4 linked regions of the Daphnia pulex genome follow. The protein of the gene in region 4 purifies or fractionates together with the protein of the main gene of each other region. This does not show direct contact. Links are inferred from orthologs where the notes say so. Each region holds a gene or a part of one and is shown on either strand. Other genes may lie near its edges.

The links. Proteins that work in one complex are often made in the same cells at the same time.
Region 1: the proteins of ATP-dependent RNA helicase me31b-like (region 4) and mapk-regulated corepressor-interacting protein 1-like purify together in Homo sapiens (co-immunoprecipitation; 5 studies listed by BioGRID and IntAct, with this or other methods). This does not show direct contact. The link is inferred for Daphnia pulex from reciprocal best matches to the Homo sapiens genes DDX6 and MCRIP2.
Region 2: the proteins of ATP-dependent RNA helicase me31b-like (region 4) and protein LSM12 homolog A-like purify together in Homo sapiens (affinity purification with mass spectrometry; 5 studies listed by BioGRID and IntAct, with this or other methods). This does not show direct contact. The link is inferred for Daphnia pulex from reciprocal best matches to the Homo sapiens genes DDX6 and LSM12.
Region 3: the proteins of ATP-dependent RNA helicase me31b-like (region 4) and enhancer of mRNA-decapping protein 4-like purify together in Homo sapiens (affinity purification with mass spectrometry; 4 studies listed by BioGRID and IntAct, counting the BioPlex papers as one, with this or other methods). This does not show direct contact. The link is inferred for Daphnia pulex from reciprocal best matches to the Homo sapiens genes DDX6 and EDC4.

The regions. Positions count from the first base shown.
Region 1 is NC_060017.1:7,806,142-7,811,226, reverse strand, and holds mapk-regulated corepressor-interacting protein 1-like, read left to right. Parts: upstream 1-1,656; 5' UTR 1,657-1,957; coding exon 1,958-2,009; intron 2,010-2,450; coding exon 2,451-2,544; intron 2,545-2,641; coding exon 2,642-2,781; intron 2,782-3,388; coding exon 3,389-3,442; intron 3,443-3,522; coding exon 3,523-3,573; intron 3,574-3,643; coding exon 3,644-3,714; 3' UTR 3,715-3,740; downstream 3,741-5,085.
Region 2 is NC_060021.1:9,118,933-9,123,340, reverse strand, and holds protein LSM12 homolog A-like, read left to right. Parts: upstream 1-1,734; 5' UTR 1,735-1,856; coding exon 1,857-1,980; intron 1,981-2,180; coding exon 2,181-2,314; intron 2,315-2,380; coding exon 2,381-2,490; intron 2,491-2,554; coding exon 2,555-2,681; intron 2,682-2,745; coding exon 2,746-2,823; 3' UTR 2,824-3,063; downstream 3,064-4,408. Other genes in the region: tubulin alpha chain, testis-specific-like, read left to right, coding at 1-532, 594-839, 903-953. UniProt on the Homo sapiens protein: Nicotinic acid adenine dinucleotide phosphate (NAADP) binding protein. Confers NAADP sensitivity to the two pore channel complex (TPCs) by acting as TPC accessory protein necessary for NAADP-evoked Ca(2+) release.
Region 3 is NC_060018.1:11,849,987-11,855,375, reverse strand, and holds the start of enhancer of mRNA-decapping protein 4-like, read right to left. Parts: upstream 3,646-5,389; 5' UTR 3,469-3,645; coding exon 3,419-3,468; intron 3,358-3,418; coding exon 3,149-3,357; intron 3,085-3,148; coding exon 2,800-3,084; intron 2,729-2,799; coding exon 2,484-2,728; intron 2,423-2,483; coding exon 2,310-2,422; intron 2,245-2,309; coding exon 2,058-2,244; intron 1,994-2,057; coding exon 1,166-1,993; intron 1,091-1,165; coding exon 956-1,090; intron 877-955; coding exon 526-876; intron 455-525; coding exon 1-454. Other genes in the region: uridine-cytidine kinase-like 1, read right to left, coding at 4,188-4,207, 4,303-4,431, 4,492-4,657, 4,729-4,830, 4,892-4,975, 5,040-5,249, 5,318-5,389. UniProt on the Homo sapiens protein: In the process of mRNA degradation, seems to play a role in mRNA decapping. Component of a complex containing DCP2 and DCP1A which functions in decapping of ARE-containing mRNAs. Promotes complex formation between DCP1A and DCP2.
Region 4 is NC_060018.1:12,397,020-12,402,104, forward strand, and holds ATP-dependent RNA helicase me31b-like, read right to left. Parts: upstream 3,280-5,085; coding exon 3,185-3,279; intron 3,122-3,184; coding exon 3,049-3,121; intron 2,987-3,048; coding exon 2,752-2,986; intron 2,694-2,751; coding exon 2,550-2,693; intron 2,492-2,549; coding exon 2,397-2,491; intron 2,337-2,396; coding exon 2,214-2,336; intron 2,157-2,213; coding exon 2,028-2,156; intron 1,868-2,027; coding exon 1,687-1,867; intron 1,518-1,686; coding exon 1,306-1,517; intron 1,242-1,305; coding exon 1,176-1,241; downstream 1-1,175. Other genes in the region: tyrosine-protein phosphatase non-receptor type 14-like, read right to left, coding at 4,574-4,702, 4,766-4,929, 4,998-5,085.

The DNA of each region.
Region 1 (5,085 bases), on a different chromosome or scaffold from region 4:
ATGTCTAATAGAGTTAAAATACACGAGTTATTATACATACAGTTGATATTGATACACACACAAACTTTAAACGCATTAGACACGTGAAATAAATGGCGGTGCGCAGTTTTTCTACGTTTGTTTTATAAGTATAACGTGAAAAGTTACGTAACAAAAAAATAAAATAAAACAGAAACTGTTGGGGGAACCAGAAAATAAGAGCCGGGTAAAAACTTTGTCGAATAGCAAATTATAGAACGCAGCGCTGAATAATTGACGGTGATGCCGAGGACGAGCAGAGTCTAAATTTTCATTCCTGATAGTTTTGTGTATGTACGTACGTATACGTACATATAGCGACGTATAGAGCGAGATATAAATTTCTCCCGGTGCACATTTTAGAGCGTGGCGTGAGCTTTTAGAGCTAGGTGTGTATTTTCGGTGCAAGTGCGTCGAGCAGAGGAGCGCCATATCCTTGCGATAATTGGAAAGCGTCGCCATGGCAGCAGATGTGCTCCATCAATTAAAGATATATAGAGAGCCAGGCGTGATGCGTTTCGCCGAAATAAAAGCCAATCATCTCACGTAGTTGTATAACCTTTTACTATTTTCCCCATTTTTATCTTCCAGTCAAATCTCCTTTTATTTATTTATTTATTTATTTCTCCATTTGTTTTTTTTTTGCCAGCTGCATTCAATAGAGGGAGATACATGTGTGTCTGCTTTTAATAATTTTTGGGGAGACGATCAAAGTTCGTCGTCCACCTGCGACCTGCAGGAGCCCCAAAGAATATTTCCAACTGTTCACGTAGATAAAAGAATTCAACAAAATCTGAAATGAATGCAACAAACAGGTTGAGCATTCTTTGAAAAGGTGCTCCTAATGAAGCTCCTAGCGGCAGCAGGAGAGTTGGTGAAGATGCGCTCGCAAGTCGACATCATTTGTGTGAAAAGGTCCATGTACTGAACTCGGCCAAGTCCATTTGGACGTGATTGAGTGAAGTGTAATGTGTACAAAGAGAGAGGCTCTATTATACGGATTGCGCAATCGAACTTTGGGGCTCCTTTTCTTTTAGTAGAGTAATGTACTAGGCTATTCGTGAGAACCGTGCCAGAATGAGAGATTCGCCCCTTTTATAATACGCCAAGTCTTTTTTTTTTATTTTTTCACGATGAATTGCGTCCACTTTACAACGGATTATGCCCATCAATTTGACCGTCAAACCGACCGAATTGAATCCACCGTCGTATTATTTTCTATTTTTCAAAAATTTCTTCCCTCAAAGTTTTTTTTATATTTTTGCCTGGCGCTGTTCAATCAATCAGATGATTGGATTGGGAAGACATTTTCGACGTGTTCAAATGTGGGCGCAACGTTCGGGGAACCGGAACGCCGCGGCGATGACAAATTGCTGTCGACAACCAATTCGTTTGTTTGTTTGCTGGCTCGAAAAAAATTTCGCGAGCGAATCCATTTTCTCATTTCACGGGCCTTTGGCGGAATTTCGACGATCGATTCGCCATTTAATCGACCTGACAAAATGGCCTAGAAAAAACAACAAAAATCCTTCGTTTGGCATTGGAAATCGATGAAATTTTACCAAACAGTTTACAAATCGACTCACAGATGGCGTCTAGGATTCTCCCTCCACAGAAAATGGATCCAACAAGCTCCTCCCATCTTTTTCCGGCCTCCGTGTAGTTCCCATTCCCTCCACACAACTCGTGCAGACAAGACTGGCGTAGAGAAACGTCGATCCCGCTGTAACAATTTATTCCATTTGCACTGCTTCGGCGTTGCACTACACAAGTTTCTTTCCAGACGAAACTTTCACCCATTTCGTCGTATCATCACCGACTTTGGCTGCTGGATTATTGAAACTTGATCCAGCTTACTTTTTCTCCAATCAATCATCCAAAGAAGGAAACCTTTTCATATTTCCGTCGTTGACATCACGTAAAACTCCACACCTGAAGGATGTACACCATTTCCAAAGGACCTAGTCAAATCGTGGCCAAAACCCGGCGAGGTAAGCCTCATTTATTATTAATTTCTAGAAGAATCATTTCCTTGTATGTGTGTGTAGGGGGGGGAGGGGATTTTCTACAGAAAGAGAAAATTGTTATTTTGAAAATGTCTGTGGGTACACACACACACGATAGTGCGTGTGGATTGAGACTTGGAAATAAACAGGTCAAAAGGCACAGGTACACATTGTGGATTTTGAACCTCCTCGCTCGTGATCTTGATATTTTAACTTAAAAAATTTCTATTCGTGAAATGTGGCCATGCCTCTTTTGGACAAGTGAAAAGAAATGTAAACGTTTTGGAACAGGTCCAAAAGACGTTCAGTTTGCTGAATCTTTTTCCTTTGTCCGGCTCGACTGTTGTGTCTGTTACGTAACCACGATGGAAGCTGCAGCCGAAGAAGATCTACTAACAAGTTCATTTTTCTTTTCAAATGTAACAGGATTGGCGCAGAAATTGGAGAGTTTGGACACAATTCGCGACATGACGAGGAAGAATTCCGATTCGGATGAAGTGGAATCTCTGGGCTCCATGAGGTGAGTTTATTTAGCATAATAACTGCGACACACATCTCGAGTTACTTGGCTGACGCAATTAACTCTTTTCATCTCGTGTTTCTTTTGATATTGTCAGCCCACCGAGACCTGTATTCCAAGCTGTGAGCACGACGAATAAACGCCACTTTCACAGTAGTCACCGACATCACCACCATCACCAACAGCCTGAAATCCTCACGAGGAGTCAACAGGAATTAATCAAATACGTCTACGACAGTAAGTTTAAACATTTATTTCGAATTGTGTTTAAACAACCCTGTCGCCATGGGGGCGCCTGGTTGTTTTTTGTTTCGCCAGATTCTTTTTAGTCGGAAAACAAACATTGAACTTTTTAAAAGAAAACATGGAGCTTAGCTATCGATATAGTTGGGTCGGACATTTTATGGGGTAGTCTATTGTGTGAATCTCTGAACGAACGGAGAAAGATGGAACCACACGTTCTCTATGGCACCAAGGCCTCTTGACGTCAGCCAACTCTCTGTAGCCCGGCGAAACCGACCAATGAGCAAACTGGATACGAGAGGTGTGCTTGCCATAGCAGGAAAACAGATAACACACACACCAAACCGGTTGCGTTGTCATGGCAACCGAGTCTTGGCAACGGCCAAATTTTTTCTTTTTTTTTCACGCTTTCTATGATCGATCCTTAAAGAACACGCCTCAAATATCGATTCGTTGGGGGCCAGGAGAAATTCTATTTCGAGTTTTTTCCCACCCGTCTTGAAACTTGTCCTCCCAACTCCCGCCCATCGCCTCGTGCACGTGAGTTGCTCGAGTCATATTTTACTGACAAAAATGTTGTTTTGTTTGAATTCCATTGCAGGATGGCAGCGAGTGAATCGAGAATTGAAAACATCAACTGTGCCAACTGCCGAGGGTAAATGTTGCGTCACACAATTTAATTCAGCTAATTATTTTGACTTTGATGTTAATGGAGTCGTTTTGTACACACGACAGGTACCTCCGTGACGTATTACCAGGACGCCAGTCCTAATCCAGCCCTTCAAGGTGAGAATCATTTGCATAGTCTCTTATCTAATCATAATGGTCTAATAATTTTTTACGACGTTGTTTACAGATTTCGAACCTTTCGACCTGGAGGGATGGTGGGGCCGTCGTCTCTACCACACGCTGACACAATCCATTTGAAAGCCAACCGGCCATCAGGGTCTCTACACAAAAAAACAAATGCCGAGCGAGCTATGACCTGTAAAAGAAAAAAGAAAACCATTTTCTCATCACCTTGAAGAAACACAAAAAAGAGAAAGAAGAAACAAACTTCTTGGAAAGAATCCTGCCGAGAGCACCCTGACGAAGCCGTAGAAGAAGATGAGATTTGAATGAATGATTAAAAGGAAATAATAATAGGCGTGAGTGTGGGGAGTAAGGAAAGAGCGAGACACACAAATAATGTAAAACATCAGGTGAACCGGAAAGTAGCTGCCATATCTTTCGTTTAAAAATATTTTTATTTTAGTCGCCACACATCTGGTAGAGAGAAGAAGAATCCCTCCCTGTTCTCGTCGTCCCCTTTAGTTTCTCCAAGAATCCGATCCACTTAAAGAGTGCTCACGTTACTTGGTTGCGGGCTGCTTTAAGTCAATCGGAAACGGGTGAACTGTTTGGGGGAGGTCCCCCTCCAAATATTTTTTTTTCTCTTCTCGTAGGATTTTTCTTTGTTCGTGGTTGATGGTCGGAACTCATTAGAAGAATGTGATACTAGTTGTGGGGGGGAGAGAGAAAGACATAAAAATGGAAATCTGTAGTGAGAGAGAAGGTTGGAAGAAATGAAAGTCAAATGAGCACCGGACTTGCCCCCGTTGTTGTACGTTCGTCCCCCGAGTCTTCTATTATATTTACGATACGATCGGGTTTCTTTTCTTGTAGACAACATATAAGGGCACACACACACTAAAAACTTGACGGCCATTTTGACCTACCCCCCGACCTTGGGTATTTTTTTGTTTTTTGATTTATTTGAATCAAATGATTAATTTTTTTTCTGTTTTTTTTTATTCTGGTTCATTTGTTTTCGAATGAATGTGTGAAAGCATGTCTGTCTGGAGAGCAGCTGAATTGATGATGATAATGTAGTTATGATTTGAAACAATATTAAGGCATGAAAACATGTGACCTGACTCTGTCTCCCCCCTCATATACTGATTTAATAATGTGTAAAGGGTGTGGTGTTGAGGAAATTGAACCGGGTGGAGGGATCCAGCCCCTGTCGAAGCCTTACGCCTTTTGAAGGATGTGCGGATTCGCGCGTTTACTATTTTGAATCCGCACATCCGGTAAAAATGCGTAAGACTTGCGACGAGGAATCTCGCGTATACTTCCACGGTAGTAGTGCCATTCGTTTGGTTAGTTGAAAGGGAAAAACCCAAAAAAGAAAAATTTTCGATTTTTCCGTATCAAACCCCCCCCCCCTCCCACCTTCGATCATCTCTCGATTGTAGTCGCAATTGTTCAGTTGACAATATAAGAAAATGCTATATCTATATAAAAAAAGAAACATGT
Region 2 (4,408 bases), on a different chromosome or scaffold from region 4:
ACAGGTGTCCACTGCGGTCGTTGAACCGTACAACTCGATTTTGACCACCCATACTACTTTGGAACATTCCGACTGCGCCTTCATGGTCGACAATGAAGCTATTTATGATATTTGTCGTCGCAACCTGGACATTGAGCGACCCAGCTACACCAACTTGAACCGTCTGATTGGCCAGATCGTTTCTTCCATCACAGCTTCTCTTCGTTTCGATGGCGCTTTGAACGTTGATTTGACTGAATTCCAGACCAATTTGGTCCCGTACCCTCGTATCCATTTCCCACTTGTTACCTACGCCCCCGTCATCTCCGCCGAAAAAGCTTATCATGAGCAGAATTCCGTTGGAGACATCACCAACGCTTGCTTCGAGCCGGCCAACCAGATGGTCAAATGCGATCCCCGTCACGGAAAGTACATGGCTTGCTGCATGTTGTACCGTGGTGATGTCGTCCCCAAGGATGTCAATGCTGCTATTGCCACCATCAAGACCAAGCGTTCCATTCAATTCGTTGACTGGTGCCCAACTGGTTTCAAGGTAGTATTTTTATAGCAATTGCCCACAGGCTGGTTCTCATTGATTTCTTTCTCCTCGTTAGGTCGGTATCAATTACCAGCCCCCAACTGTCGTTCCTGGTGGTGATTTGGCCAAGGTTTCCCGTGCCGTTTGCATGTTGTCCAACACGACTGCCATCGCCGAGGCCTGGGCTCGTTTGGATCACAAGTTTGATCTGATGTACGCCAAGCGTGCGTTCGTCCATTGGTACGTTGGTGAGGGTATGGAGGAGGGAGAGTTCTCTGAGGCTCGTGAAGATTTGGCCGCTCTCGAGAAGGATTACGAGGAGGTAACAATTTTGATTACGATTTACCCCCCTAGATGATTTTATAATTTATTGTTTGTAAAACAGGTCGGTATGGATTCCGTCGAAGGCGAGGGAGAAGGTGGCGATGAATATTAATTGAAAATTATCATTCCTTGTTAACCAAGAAAAACATGTACCCCTTTTATCTAGTGGCAGGTGCTTGTTGCTTGCTTTCTAGTGTTTCTCGTCTTAATTGCTCTATTTATTTAGAGCGTTTAAAGCCAATATGATACTTCTCGCGTTAAATCCTCTTGTCAATGTTTTATTTCGAACGTCTTTTGGTCAGTTAGTCAGCAATATTTTTCAGCTATGAAAAAGATAATTAAGGATTGTCCATTAATGCAAGTAAAAGATAGTTAAGAATTGTCCATTAATGCAAGTATAAGCATATTTTGGAATATCTGGTATCTGTGATATTAAAAACAGATGAATTTATTATTAAGTGTGTAGCTGGTAGAAAACGTAGTGGTCTTCAACATCTGTATGCGTCATGTTTTTGACAAACACACATGTGACCCCTTTACAGAACATCAATAAAATTGCCGCATAGTTTAAGTTGACTTGAAGTGTTGTGAATGCCAACTGCATCGTAAACTTAGGTAACAGCTGCATCAGCATCTGCTTGTTTAGTTCCACAGACATTCACCAGTAAATGCGAAATATTTGAGTAGGTTATTTATCCACTACCACAAAAAAATATGGAATAATAAACGACGAAACTTTAGCTAAAAATAAAAAAAATAATAATTATAATTCCCGCACGAAATTTACAAAAAAATGAACGACAACGTCACTTCTGTCTGTCAAACGCAGGGGATAACGCGGATTTTGGAATAAAGAGAAGGTAGGGGAATGGGTTTATGGGTGCCCGTGCGGCCGGCATGTCTGCTAGACTCCGCCTACTTTTTACTTGATGTTACCAGCGTTGTCTGATCGGAGTGTTGTTGTGTCTCGCCCCGTTTTTTGGAGAATTTTTTCTGTTTCTTCTGGAGCCAAAATATGGCGTCGGATGGCAATGAGTACTTTTCGGTCGGAAGTCTAGTTTCGTGCAAAACATGCCATAATCAAGTGATCGAAGGCGAAGTCCTCGCCTTTGATCAACCTACCAAAATGCTGATTCTCAGTAAGTTTACCGGCTCTTTTAACTTAACCGATAACTCACGCTCTTGTCGGCTACTTGTCACGCTCATACTTTTTTTTTCCTTGGCACACGCTGTTTGTTTAACTATAAACTCGTTTTTCAAACTGTGCAACTCATTTTCTTCCTTCTTGTTGTTAGGGATATTTGAATTCAGTCTAATAATAGACCTCTGCTCTTTTCAGAATCACCTTCTTCGTGTGGAAGACCCTCTGTCAACGATGCACATGTTGTAAATCTTGGGCAAGTGAGTGATGTTCAAGTAAAGAGAGAGGCAACTTCTTCTCCACCTCCCCATCCAGTTCAGAATGTCGAAAGAGTAAGTTTTAAATACTATTTACTTTTATCAATCATGCTATATACATCTTTTATCCTCGATTGGTAGCTGAAGAAAAGGGTGCGTATGGAAGTAGAAAGAAAACAACACATGATAACTGCCCTGGAGTCTGGTGTTTCTCCTGAAGGGCTCAAGCTGTTTAATGCTGTCAAACGAACGTGAGGATAACAGCAGGGAATCAGAGAAACAACATAATCTATTGTTTATAAAAATTAACTACAGGATTGAGGATGTTGCATGGGAAGGCAAAAACATTCGAGTCATGGATCAAGTGACAATTAGTCCCCCGTATCATCCAGAAAATGTCCAGGGCAATATGGAAAAGGCTGTGAACCATGTTAGAAAAATTGTGAGTGTCTGGATTAATCACTACTATACATCAAATAAGCTAAGATTTTATTTTCTTGTTATAGGTTGAAAAGTACATGAAAGACCATTCAGATACAAAAGGAGGAAGCAGTGAAAACAGTAATACATTAGCTTCTCCGTGAAATCAGGCAAAATATGGCCCCACTCTTTTCACGACGACCAGTACCATTTTCTCCATCCTGCTTCACCATCTTCTCAAAAATTCTAGATAATAAATAAATACAACAACTTCAAACAAGCAAAGAGAATGCTGGTTCTTCACAGCTGTAAAATACGTCCGATTAAAAAATACTTGATGATTTTCGGAGCGTGTAGTGGCGTATGAAATGGCGAGATGATATACAATGATAACTTCTTGTTTACTTTCATTGAGTTTTTATTTTAAGTACTTATATTGAGTTAAATTATTATTGCTGTAGCCAACTGATTTCAATTGGCCTTGGCAAATTGGATTTTGTGTGATACTGCATTTTTTGTTCTGATTTAGACCACTTTTCACTCGGCCAGTACAACTTAGTAATTTTTTATATTATTCGTTTTCTTATCAATCAATAAGCAAGTTGTCGAGTTCTTACTATTTTTATCTAAGTAAAATACTTCAACAAACAATTCCTTCAATTCCTTCTCATGAGATTACAATGTCACAGCTGAGCTGACCGGGTTATATTTGTTAAGTAAAGGGAATATTGATTTTGTCAAATGCTGATGCTTCTGAGATAACGCCAACCCGAATCACGGAATCATCATATTTATAACAAAATTCAAGATTTTTTTCCCTTTTTTTAATTTTATTTCGATTAACTTTAAAACTGGTCGCTAGGTGGTGCTCATTCAATTTTCATTTATTTTATAAATGTCAAGTTGAAGTTAGTGATTTTCTTTTTGAAATTGACAAATTCATTTCTGAACAAATATATAAATTTTTTTAATATCCTAAATAAGTGAATAGTATAAATTAAATTCAGATCCCATTATAAATCTGTGACCGAGGTAAAAATATGGCAGCTGTGTATCAACTTCAATCGTCGTCTCATTTACATATTTTGGCTGAAACCAGAGCTAATTGAGCGGGAATCAAAGTGATTCATAAGACATTTCAGTGATTAGTTAAACATTCGTTCTTCCTTGTTATCCTATATTTGTGTACTAAATTTGTGTGAATGTGACCTTACAGACTATTTTCGTGAATGCAGCCATCGAAATTCCATCTGGTTTCAACGTGGGACAGTCTCTGTTCAAACTTTGGTAAGTCCCGGTCTTTTTATTATTCCTGGTTTTCTGTGAAATCCTTTGTTTCCCTGGTTAAATGCTATGCGTTTCGTTGGTCATTCGTTAGTCACGTTTTTTTCAAACTCGCCATTTTTGGATTTTTCACGAACAAGTTTCTTATTCCCACGTGTCCAAAGGCTTAACTTGATAATAGCTTTAGACCTTTGATGAAAAAAGGACTTGCATTAGTTATTGAAAATCCCCATTTTTGATGATTAGAACGTACGTACACAGTTCTTCTATGTAAATTTCAGTCAGATCGTAAAAACAGATTAGGCCATTCGTTTGCAACTACAAAAACAAACGTGCGTGCCAGCGACTGAAATCGCTGGATTTCGCGTCACGTGTGATGCTGTAATCAACGAAATGGGTTCGTACATTAGTCGTTGGAGCATCTCTGGATGAGTCTATCAGCCGTTTGTATGTCAATTGACACGA
Region 3 (5,389 bases), about 550 kb from region 4:
TGCTCTCGATGTTTCGTACGACTGGTAAGGTAACGTTATTCATATTGAAGTGACGAGTGACGCAAATCCTTTCTGAATAGTCATTTCTAAATGAATGCTCACACTCGGTGATCCCCTTGGAAAAAGTGTTGTGCAGCTGGGCGAAGAGTGTCTGGAACGAGACTTCCAGCGACGGAAGCAGCTGTGACGTGATGGCATCCTTGCAGCCGCGATTCATGGCCGACACGGCCGCCGTCGAAGTAGCTTGGCTGTACGCATCGATGATGGACTTGTTCTGCGACAAATGGCTCATCATTTGCATCGTAGAGTTTTTCAAAAACGGTTCCAGTTTATTCATCTCCGTCGCAATGACCGATTGCAATTCCTTGCGGATAAAATCAACACTTCGTTGCTCCAGTGTATGCGCCTTGTTCTCGAATTCGGATCGGATCGTCGACTGAAGTTTCGACACGGACTAGAAAATAATAATAATAATAGAAAAATACATCAACAAGAAATAATTAACTGATTTCAATAGTCAAATACTTGTTGGGTTTTTGCCGGAGAATTAACTTCGTCCAACTTTTTAGTCTGGCGATCGAAATAAACGGCCAAAGTGGATTCCATCTGAGCGATCCATGGAGGCTGGATGGGTTCCGGTGAGTGCATCCGAGTCATTTCCGCCTTCAACTGACCAATCTCGCTCTTCAGTTGTTGTTGTTCTGCGCGTTGAGCAGAGACGAGCTGAACCAATTGGTCCAGTGTCTGTTGCATCATTTGCATCTGAGCAGAATTTCCGGCATCCGTTTCGCGCACTGGCGGCTCTTTGGGCCGTTGTAGTTGTTGAACGTTGAGTGGCGGAAGAACGGACGGCCACGCTGCTTGCGCTGGCAAAGCCTGGATGTGTGTCGGGGTGTGTTCAAATATTAGACACCAACATATAACCCAATAATCAATAGAATAAAGCGAAAGCTACTTCAACGACAAGGGCTTCTTTAAATAATTCCAGCAAACTGCCGTTTAAATCCGCAGATACGGAGGAAGGAGTAGGAGCTGCAACAGCGGAAGTAGGGTAAGTGCATAGCGGATCCTCAACAGTTGGTGCGTTATACTAGATTTTAAATGAGGTGTGCAAATAGTAATTACAAATGGCAAATGATCGGCAAATGATCGAAATACGCCCTACTTTATCCATGATGGGGGATGGTCCTTTGCTGTTGACCGAGGCTGAGCGACCCATAGCCGGCGATAACGAAATGGGATAGGCCGATAAGGCGTCTTGAAGGGCTGGACCTGTAGGCACGGTGGCGGAAGAGGTATCGGGTGACTCGATCGAGCCTTCCGTCATAGGTCTTGTTCCCAGGATTTCTTCTACTTCGCGACTGGGGCTGCTACCCCCACTGGGAATGCCGTTCCGCTTCGGCGTCGTTGATGAGGTAACCTCAGGTGTCGGTCGTCGTGGGCTTGAAAGGGCCAGGATCTCACCTGATGCAGGCGGCAAGGGACTCACGGTGCCTGGTGAAGTCACAATCAATTGCTTTTGAGATGAGGAATCCGTGTTGGTTTTGGCTGGAGAGACGAACGCGTCGGGTGTCAACAGGTTGATGTGGTTGGTAGCGGATGCTGTTTTGACTACATTCACCGGTTCATACTCCGACGTGGTGTTGATGGTGGAGAAGGAGGTTCCAATAGCCTCGCCCAGTGGGACCGAAGTCCCCAATTCAAAGACTGCTTTGCACTTTTGCAGCGACTTGGGCTGCACTACGAACATCTTCATTATCACTTTACTGGCCTTTTCATCTCCATCAAAGTCCTCGTCACCCAATGGCTGGGAAGGTGGCCTAATTGAAGCTTCCCGGATGGCAACACTAATGGCTGAGAAAGGCAACAGGAGTTGAGTGATGCTGCTCACTTTCGAGATGGTTCGTTCTTCCGATTTGGAAGGTACTTCGCCGTCATCAGAGAGCGGATTCCTCTCTTCTGGCTCCTGTTCTATGTGCATAACGTACAAAGCCTATTGACAAAATTAGATTGGTATGAGAGTTGAGTAAATCAAAGAAAGGTGGGATATAAATAACCTTGCGATGAATGTCGGAAATAAGAAGGAATGAAGCCGACAAGTCGAGTGTCATTTTTTGGATAATGGGAATAGAATCATCCGATTTGAAACGGATCGTCTGATGGCACTTCCACAATTCACAGGACCATAGCTTAAACTCTGTGTTGTTTTCCGCGGATGTGACTGCCCACTTCCACAGCGGACATCTATAGACGAATCGAAGAGTGTCGTTGAGGATTGGAAGAAACAATGCCGAACAAAATAGACTTACTCTCTGATAGTTGGATGACTGAGATTGTCCAAGAAAATAATGCCTGAGAGTCTTTTTCCTTCATGTGGTTGCCACTTGTGCAAAATTTTTGGAATTTCCTTTTTAATATTGACCTAGAATAAAAATTGCAGCATTTAGCAAATGCCTAGTTAGTTAAAAGTAATTTTCACATACCAAAAAGAATCTGACGTAGCCATCCAAACTGGCGACAGCAATTGCTGTTGAATCTGGAGAAAATGCCACATCAACAACAGCATCATCAAATGAGGTAATTTGAGTGGATCCAGTAGTCACACTGGGGTAGGTGACTGTTCCATTGATATGACCCAGATGCCATATTTCCACACGGCAATCATGTACCGCTGCAAGCATTAATGCATGATCATCAGCATCATTTCTCAAACCATCACTCAATTCATCTGTGAGAAAGAAAATCAAACAAGAAAATTAGTATAACAAAATACAAATTCTAATAGAAATAACAACAAACCTAGAGTTTTGGGATTTTCTGGGACATAGGGACACCAGACTACACGATGGCAGTCGGTGGCAGTAGTAATTCCATCGGGATTCACTTGCAAAATCAATTGAGCAGTTGATCCAATGATCTCATGGACGAGAAGGTAACTATATTCATCGACAGCAGCCACAAGTATCCTTTTCTCATGGAACGCAAAAGACAGGTCTCGAACAAAGCCATGGAATCCCTTTAATAGGATTCTATCACTGCTCCCAGTTCTTATCACTCGAACCATGCCAGCTGATTTTCCGGGGACTAAACAACCAAAACAGAATTAGTGAATGTAGTTAAATACTTGCACATTGTTGGTATTAATAACCTGTCAGTGCATATGCAAAATATTGCCCCTTGTAATGAGTGGCAACCAGGTTTCCCCAGTGGAAAGCTTTATCCCATGATGAATCAACTATATTTTTAACTTTGATCTGTGAGCTACCAGAACGGTGCCCTCCATTAACTGGATAAATAACAACATCTTCTGATGATTTTGTTGCAACACTTTGCCAATCCATCGCCTCTGAAAACATACTGTAAAAATATTTATGTAATCAAGTCTTTCTCAATAATTTGTTAAGTAATAGTCACACACATGGTAAGTTCCTCATCTTTGCTCGTTTGACCATTAAAACTGCAGCTCATGGTGAATCTCTCGACGGGTGTATAATCAGCGAGAAAAACCAACCACGTGCGATAAAATACAGATGAATTTTACAAAATTTTCTAACTGAACTAATAAAGACAAACGACTCCGACGAAATCGACCGGTGTGCAAGTGCAACAAACTGTGTGTCTGATTTCGCTTCGTCGTAACTCGTAACTGCTGAGCCGAAAACAAAAGAAGATCGCACCGCGGCTTACAAACATGTTGATAAACAAACGTTTATCTTTGTTTTTCCAAGATTCGGCGGTAAATGTTGGTTGTTGCCTAAAATGCCTATGCCCAACAAACTATTTAATGTCTTTATTTAATTCATTTCATTGAAATATAATTTTTTTTATTGAAATGAAGAAAAATGGCCGTTTATAACACATTAACACAAAATGTATTATTGTTCTTTTTCACGAGTTTGCCAATAATCAGTTAGTAAGTATAATAAACTAAAATAGGAGAAAGCAAAAATTTTTATGTTCTTTTCTGTGTAAAAAAACATCAGATTGACTGAGTGGAAACAATAAGAAAAGACATTTAATTTAGTCTTCTATGACTGTTTGGTCCAGATATTAATCTGTAAGATTTTTAAATCACAATTTTATAAGAGAAAGAAAATTAAGTACTGAGTGGTCTCTTGCATCATATAGGGGGACAGAAAAAATACACTAGGGGAATCCAGCTATTTCAAATAATTAGGAAATCTTCTTTACATTTCATTAGGGGGTTCTGAAAATTAACAACAACAAAAATGTTTAGAAGATAATTCAATTATTTAGAAGATGAGTAATTTTATTATGAATAATAGATAAAAATCGACGAACCTGTGCCAAAGTATCGGTCTCCAAAATTACCAATACCAGGCTTGACAAAGAATTTTTCGTTGATTTCTGGGTCAACTGCAGAGGAAACAATTCTCACCCTGGGAAAGGCGTAGGCAATCGAATGTACACCTATTTATAAGCAGAAAAATAAAGCATCGATTAAGATGATTTCTTTTCAATTTTGATTACCTGAAGCGGCCATCAGTAAGGAGGCGACTAGGATATTTTCCTCAGGAACGTCATGATCAAGGAGCACCCTGATCGCCATCATGGCTGCAGCTCCAGTCGCCACAGTTGCATCCATCAAAATGACTAGATAGTCTTTAATGTCACGAGGTAGTCGAAGATAGTACAGCTAAAATTCATTTAAAAAAAAGGAACTTGTTATTAAGTAATGTAATAATAATAAATTGATTAGCTATTTACTTCAGGTTCTCCTGTTTCGATGTTATTCTGGATAAGGATTTTCCCGATACGAATATCTTTACATACTTCAGAAAGTGCTTGTTCCATAGTTTCTCCAGCTCGCTAAAGATACGGTATTTTTTAAAAATATTTTATGGTATTTATTTAAGCTTTAACCAATTACCAAAACGGAAACTCCAACGATTTTATCAGTAGCTATGCGCTTCCCTTGATATGAAACTCCTTGTGGTGTGTCTACCGTGGTATCCTAAAGAAACAATCCATTTCTTTAATAACAACATTTATGCGTATCTTAATTAGGGAGGTTATACCTTAAACGGCAGTAAAGACAGAGCAAACTCTATTGTTAATCGAATCAGCCGACGTGAATAGAAGATGAATTCATCACGAGGAGTCTCTTTGTTACGAATGAAAGTGTGTAAACCCTTGACTTGCGGGGTTAACGGCAGAATATGAAGAGAGTTTGGCAGTGGCTGATCCACTTGTGCGGTAGCCAAGATGGGCCTTAACTTGAAACCTCTCTGTGGAATAAAGAACAATAATTAGAATAACCAATCGTATTAATTCCAAGAAGTAATATCGTGCACACCAATTGTAGTTGCGTCTGAACGTGTTGCACAATAAGACTGATGGCGACTTCATTGTCACCACCACGAGGAAC
Region 4 (5,085 bases):
ATACAAAATTGTTTACATTTTCTTACTTGATCTAGTTATCGTTATTGATTTTTAAAGAAAACTAAACCCGCCCAAGGTACTACAATGAAAGTTCATTACACATACTTTATCATTATAAATTGTAATAGTAAATTCACAGAAAAATTAAGAAAATGAATTCAATTTCAGAAAGCGTTTATTAATAATTTCGACAATTTGTTTAAACGGCAAACACTTGAAATTGAAAAGAAAAATTTTTTTTTTGTTTCTTCTGGAGGTGAAACTAAGAATTTTTATGTTTTTTTTTGTTGTTTTGAAGTCGACTTCTTGAGGGTATACAGATGGGAAGAAGTGCATAATGACACTTGAGATCTCGCTCATTCTATCAGGTCACGTTCGGTAATGTTCATCAGCAAACTGTCGCGTTCGGGATATAAAGCTCGTGCAATTCGGCGAGCACAGAGTCACAATCGGTATTAAGAGGAGTACGAAAAATTCCATCCAAACGCAGTTGGGCGAGAATTTTGGTACGATACATGTTAACAAATATACAATTCACATTCAGGTAGTGGGTCGGCTAGATTATGTATATAAAATGTAACGGGCGGCTTTCAAGTCTTATATCGGTGAAACTTTCCTCGACGAGGGAGCCATTGTAACATCACCAGTGGACTGCTTTTGGGAGCGAGATTCTTCCATTCCAAAAGCAATGCAAAGTGTACCAAGCTGACCCCCCCAAACTTCATTTCACATACTTACTCCCTGACGGAATCTCATCTTTTACGGAACCTGCCGCCCTAACGCTTTAGCCTTCGACGTTCACACATCCATTCACGCAAAACATTGTACCCAAAAAAACAAAACAAAAACTTTTCTCCTAAACTGAAAAAAAAACTGGCTCTTCGCCACCGTGAGAATTTACATATTTACAACAGTCTTTCGATAGCGCATGCTTAAAGTTATCCTTGTTTTTACTCTTGTACAATGGTTTTTTTCCCTACATGCTGCAGCACTCCTCCAATTGCTAATGAGTGCTTTTCATTAATTCTGATCTTCAATACATTGGTCCCAGTGAACGACCTTTCATAAATTTCACTTACAGGATTCATTTTCTTTTCTTTTTTCTCAATTTTTTTTTGTGTCCTATCATGACGTTGTGTGATGCATGCGCTTTTCGAAGACATTCTCTCGCCTTTTTACTTTCCTGATTGCTCCTCGGAATCTTCTTGGAACTCGGCCACGTAGAGGGATTTGTCAATGACCTTCATTGAAAAAATAAAACAATGTAAATACAATGAATACTTGCACGAGATATCCAAGACTAACCTTAGGAATGGGCTTGATTTCAGTGCTAAGTTCACTCTCAATGCGATGCAGGGCGAAACGATCTTCATAAGTAATCAGATTGATAGCAATACCCAGGTGTCCAAACCGACCCGAACGACCAATCCTGTGCAGGTAAGTTTCAGCCATCTTGGGAAAGTCGAAGTTGATGACCACGTTCACAGCTTGAATGTCAATACCACGAGTGAACAAATCTGTTATAAAAACGCAAAAGATTAGTTTCAACATCCTTTTCTCTTCTTGGCTTCACATTATTAAATGAATCAGATGTTGATTTTCTTTCAGACGAAAGAAGGGGAATCCAACAAAAAGTTCATCATAACAGTCGAGCACTTAACATTACAAAGATGAAGCAAATCTTACCGGAGCACACGAGGTTACGGCACAGCCCATTACGGAAATCATGGAAGACGCGGTTTCTGTGAGCTTGCTGCATACGGGCATGAATGTAATAGCACGAGTAGCCCAGCTCAGTGATCTTCTTAGCCAAAAGTTCCACACGTTGAGTGGAGTTGCAGAAGATAATACTTTGATTGATCTGCAACTATAATATCAACACAGATATTAATATCGTGACTTTAAAACACAGCAGTTAAAATTAATTCAAGTAAAATCAGGTGTTGATTTTCTCTCAGACGAGAGAAGGGGAATCCAACAATAACTCATCAGTCTTATACTGAAAATCTAAATAAACCTTTACTTACTTTAGAAAACAGCGTATTGAGGCAGTGCACTTTTTGCCGTTCTTGGACAAAAGCGTAGTATTGCGTGACACCTTTCAGTGTTAGTTCTTCCATCAAATTGATTTCATATGGGTTATCAATGTGTTTCCTCTGTGGATACAATCATTGTTAAATCAAGAACCAAATTACAAGAACCAATAAACCTACCATAAACTCCTCGACAGTTACAGGGAAAGTTGCCGAATAAAGCAAAATTTGGCGCTTGGCTGGTAGGAACGAAATTATACGATCCAACATTCCCATGAAGTCTTGAGAGAGCAGTTTGTCAGCCTAGTTACACAAAAGAATAAGAACAATCGTCTAACAGAACTCTTAATAATTCCCACATACCTCATCCAAAACAAGGACCTTACAACGGTCCATTACCGCAATCTTCTTTTCCATCAGATCCAAAACACGACCAGGAGTGGCAATCACAACATGAACTGGAAGAAACAATGATTGTTAAAACTTGCATGGAAGTAAACAAGGAATAATGAATACCTTTTCCAAAGATCCTCATAATGTCATCTTTCAGGTCAGTACCACCAGTAGTCACCATGATACGAATATCCAAATGTTTAGCTAGTTCAATGCAGATTTGGCTTGTTTGCAATGCCAGTTCACGTGTTGGCACAACAATTAATGCTACAAAGAAAAAAAAATTAGGCCCAGAACTGTAAGAAAAACTTAAACTTGTCAGTACCTTGGATGTGTTGCTCAGACGGAACTACTTGTTCCAATACTGGTATACAATAAGCACCTGTTTTTCCAGTTCCATTCTTAGCACGAGCCAGGATATTACGCCCAGTCAGAGCCATAGGAATTCCAACCTCTTGAATGGGTGAAGGTGTCTCCCATCCCTTTTCAAAGATACCCATCAACAATTCACGCTTCAGACAAAAGTCTTCAAAACTTGTTCCCTTAGTGTTGGTAACATCCTGAAATTAAACCAAAAATTTAACCCCCAACTCTCATAGATGTTTGAATGAAAGAATATTACGCTAGTCTGTTTTCTACGATCCTTGGGTGGGATCTTCAACTGAGACTTCCAGAAATTGTCAGAGTTATTCTCTCTAAAATATTAACAAAAACAGTCATGAAATACGAACAAAGAACACATGATTTTTAAGACTTACTGCTTCGCAATTAGCGGCTGAGGACTGGGTCTCATCGGCGAAAGGGCATGATTGTTGGCCACTAAGCTTGGCTGACTAGCAACGGCTTCTGCCATGGTTTTCTCTTCTTTTCTTTTTCTTCTTACTTAACAAAACTTTCGAGCAAAATGCCGAATTCCTTCTTCAACAACGATCACTTGAACTTAAGTTTCTCCAACGAAGGCGAACGATTTCTGCAAACGAAAATAACGTGAAACCAAAGAAGCAGGAACTATGGCTTCAGTCTTCTGTGCACATACAAACGTCGCTTACTAAACCTGAAATAAAATGAGAAAAATCGAATCTGTCAATGGCGGTAAGTCAACAGAATCGGCGTCCATATACACAAAGACTTTTGATCGTGTAACACTGAAGCATTCAATTTCGAATAAAATAAATCTCAGCAAATGACAAACTGACCTAGTAGACCAGTAGTTGAGATATAATAGACAAGTTTTTAAACACGAGCAAGGATGTCAACGGATAAAGAATTGGTTTATCTGAGAAACAGTGTTCACTATGGCGCTCTACGCATCGAAAGCAAAGCAGCGACTGTTTGTGAGTGAGTCAGTCCACAGATAGGGGGAGGGTCGTGACAAACAAGTTAGAGCAAGCAAAACAAAACTTGGATAATATTCAACAATTGACATCACTCAAAATGAAGAAATTAAGAGAAGAAAATATACCAACCTTACGAAGATGTTGACTAAATTGGAAAATAATTAACAAGTGTGTCAATGTTCGGGAACAATGTCTATCTATTTTGCGCGAGAGTCGAAAGGGATCTGAGTAGAGATAGTAGTCGAAGTCTCTGTTTAGTCCTCCTGGTGGCGGTTAGAGGTAATGAAACATCCCTTCAGGGCTTACTCGTGCCTGGCTTAAGGGGGGAGGCGGGAGGATAGGTATATTGAGTTCCACGTCGCCAAATTGTAGAGCATCTAGGGAATTTCAATTATATTAATTCGATAATTTTTATTATTTATTAAATGAATGAAGATCAGGTGTTGTTTAAAAATATCGTTTATTATTTAATTCTCTATCAATAAAAAAAGGCACGTCATAGGGACTAGGCGTGAGTTAATAATCTATAAAATTGCTGCACATCGTGGAGTTAGTAGAAATGCAATAGAAATTGAAGAAACGCATGTGATTGAAACACTCTTTACAAATTGTATAATAGCTTTCCCACAATTCATTAATAGTGGTATGTTATGAAAAAAAGCAAGCAAATAATGGTTGGTGATCATATGAATTGCCTAAGTATCACAAAAATGGAGGAACATGTTGATTGGCTTGTTCATCTTTCAACAATTGAATCAAAGGCCGAATGCATCGTGTGTGTGTGTGTGTTTTAAATATATCATTGCAAGATCAAATGAGTCGAGAGCGGCCAAGGTAAGCAAGTAGTAGGGCATATATTGAACGATACTGGGCAACGGTCTGCACCATAAGCATCCTTTGCTGGCGCAGGTGATTAATAAGTTTCGGGACGTCGACGACCTGTTGATTATAGAAAGAACATTAGCCCAATGATTTGATTAGGCAGATTTGAATGATACTCACAACATTGTGATCGAGTGATGTAAGTAAAACGTCGCAAGCGATGGTGACACCTGTTCGACCAACACCCGCTCCGCAATGAACCAACACTGGCGTGTTTCGGTTCTTACCCAGTGGAACATCAGACACGGAATGTCTTCGCACTGTGTCCATCTCCTCCAAAAAACCTGAAATCAATTATTTTTATGTTAACCCCAAACATTGTAAACAAAATATCCAATCAAATTTGTCTTACTAAGGAAAGAGGTCACATCTTTGGGGCAACCGTGATCAGCCCAGTCAGAGTATTGAAGATGCCAAATGCTGCGTTGTTGAGCTGTTGG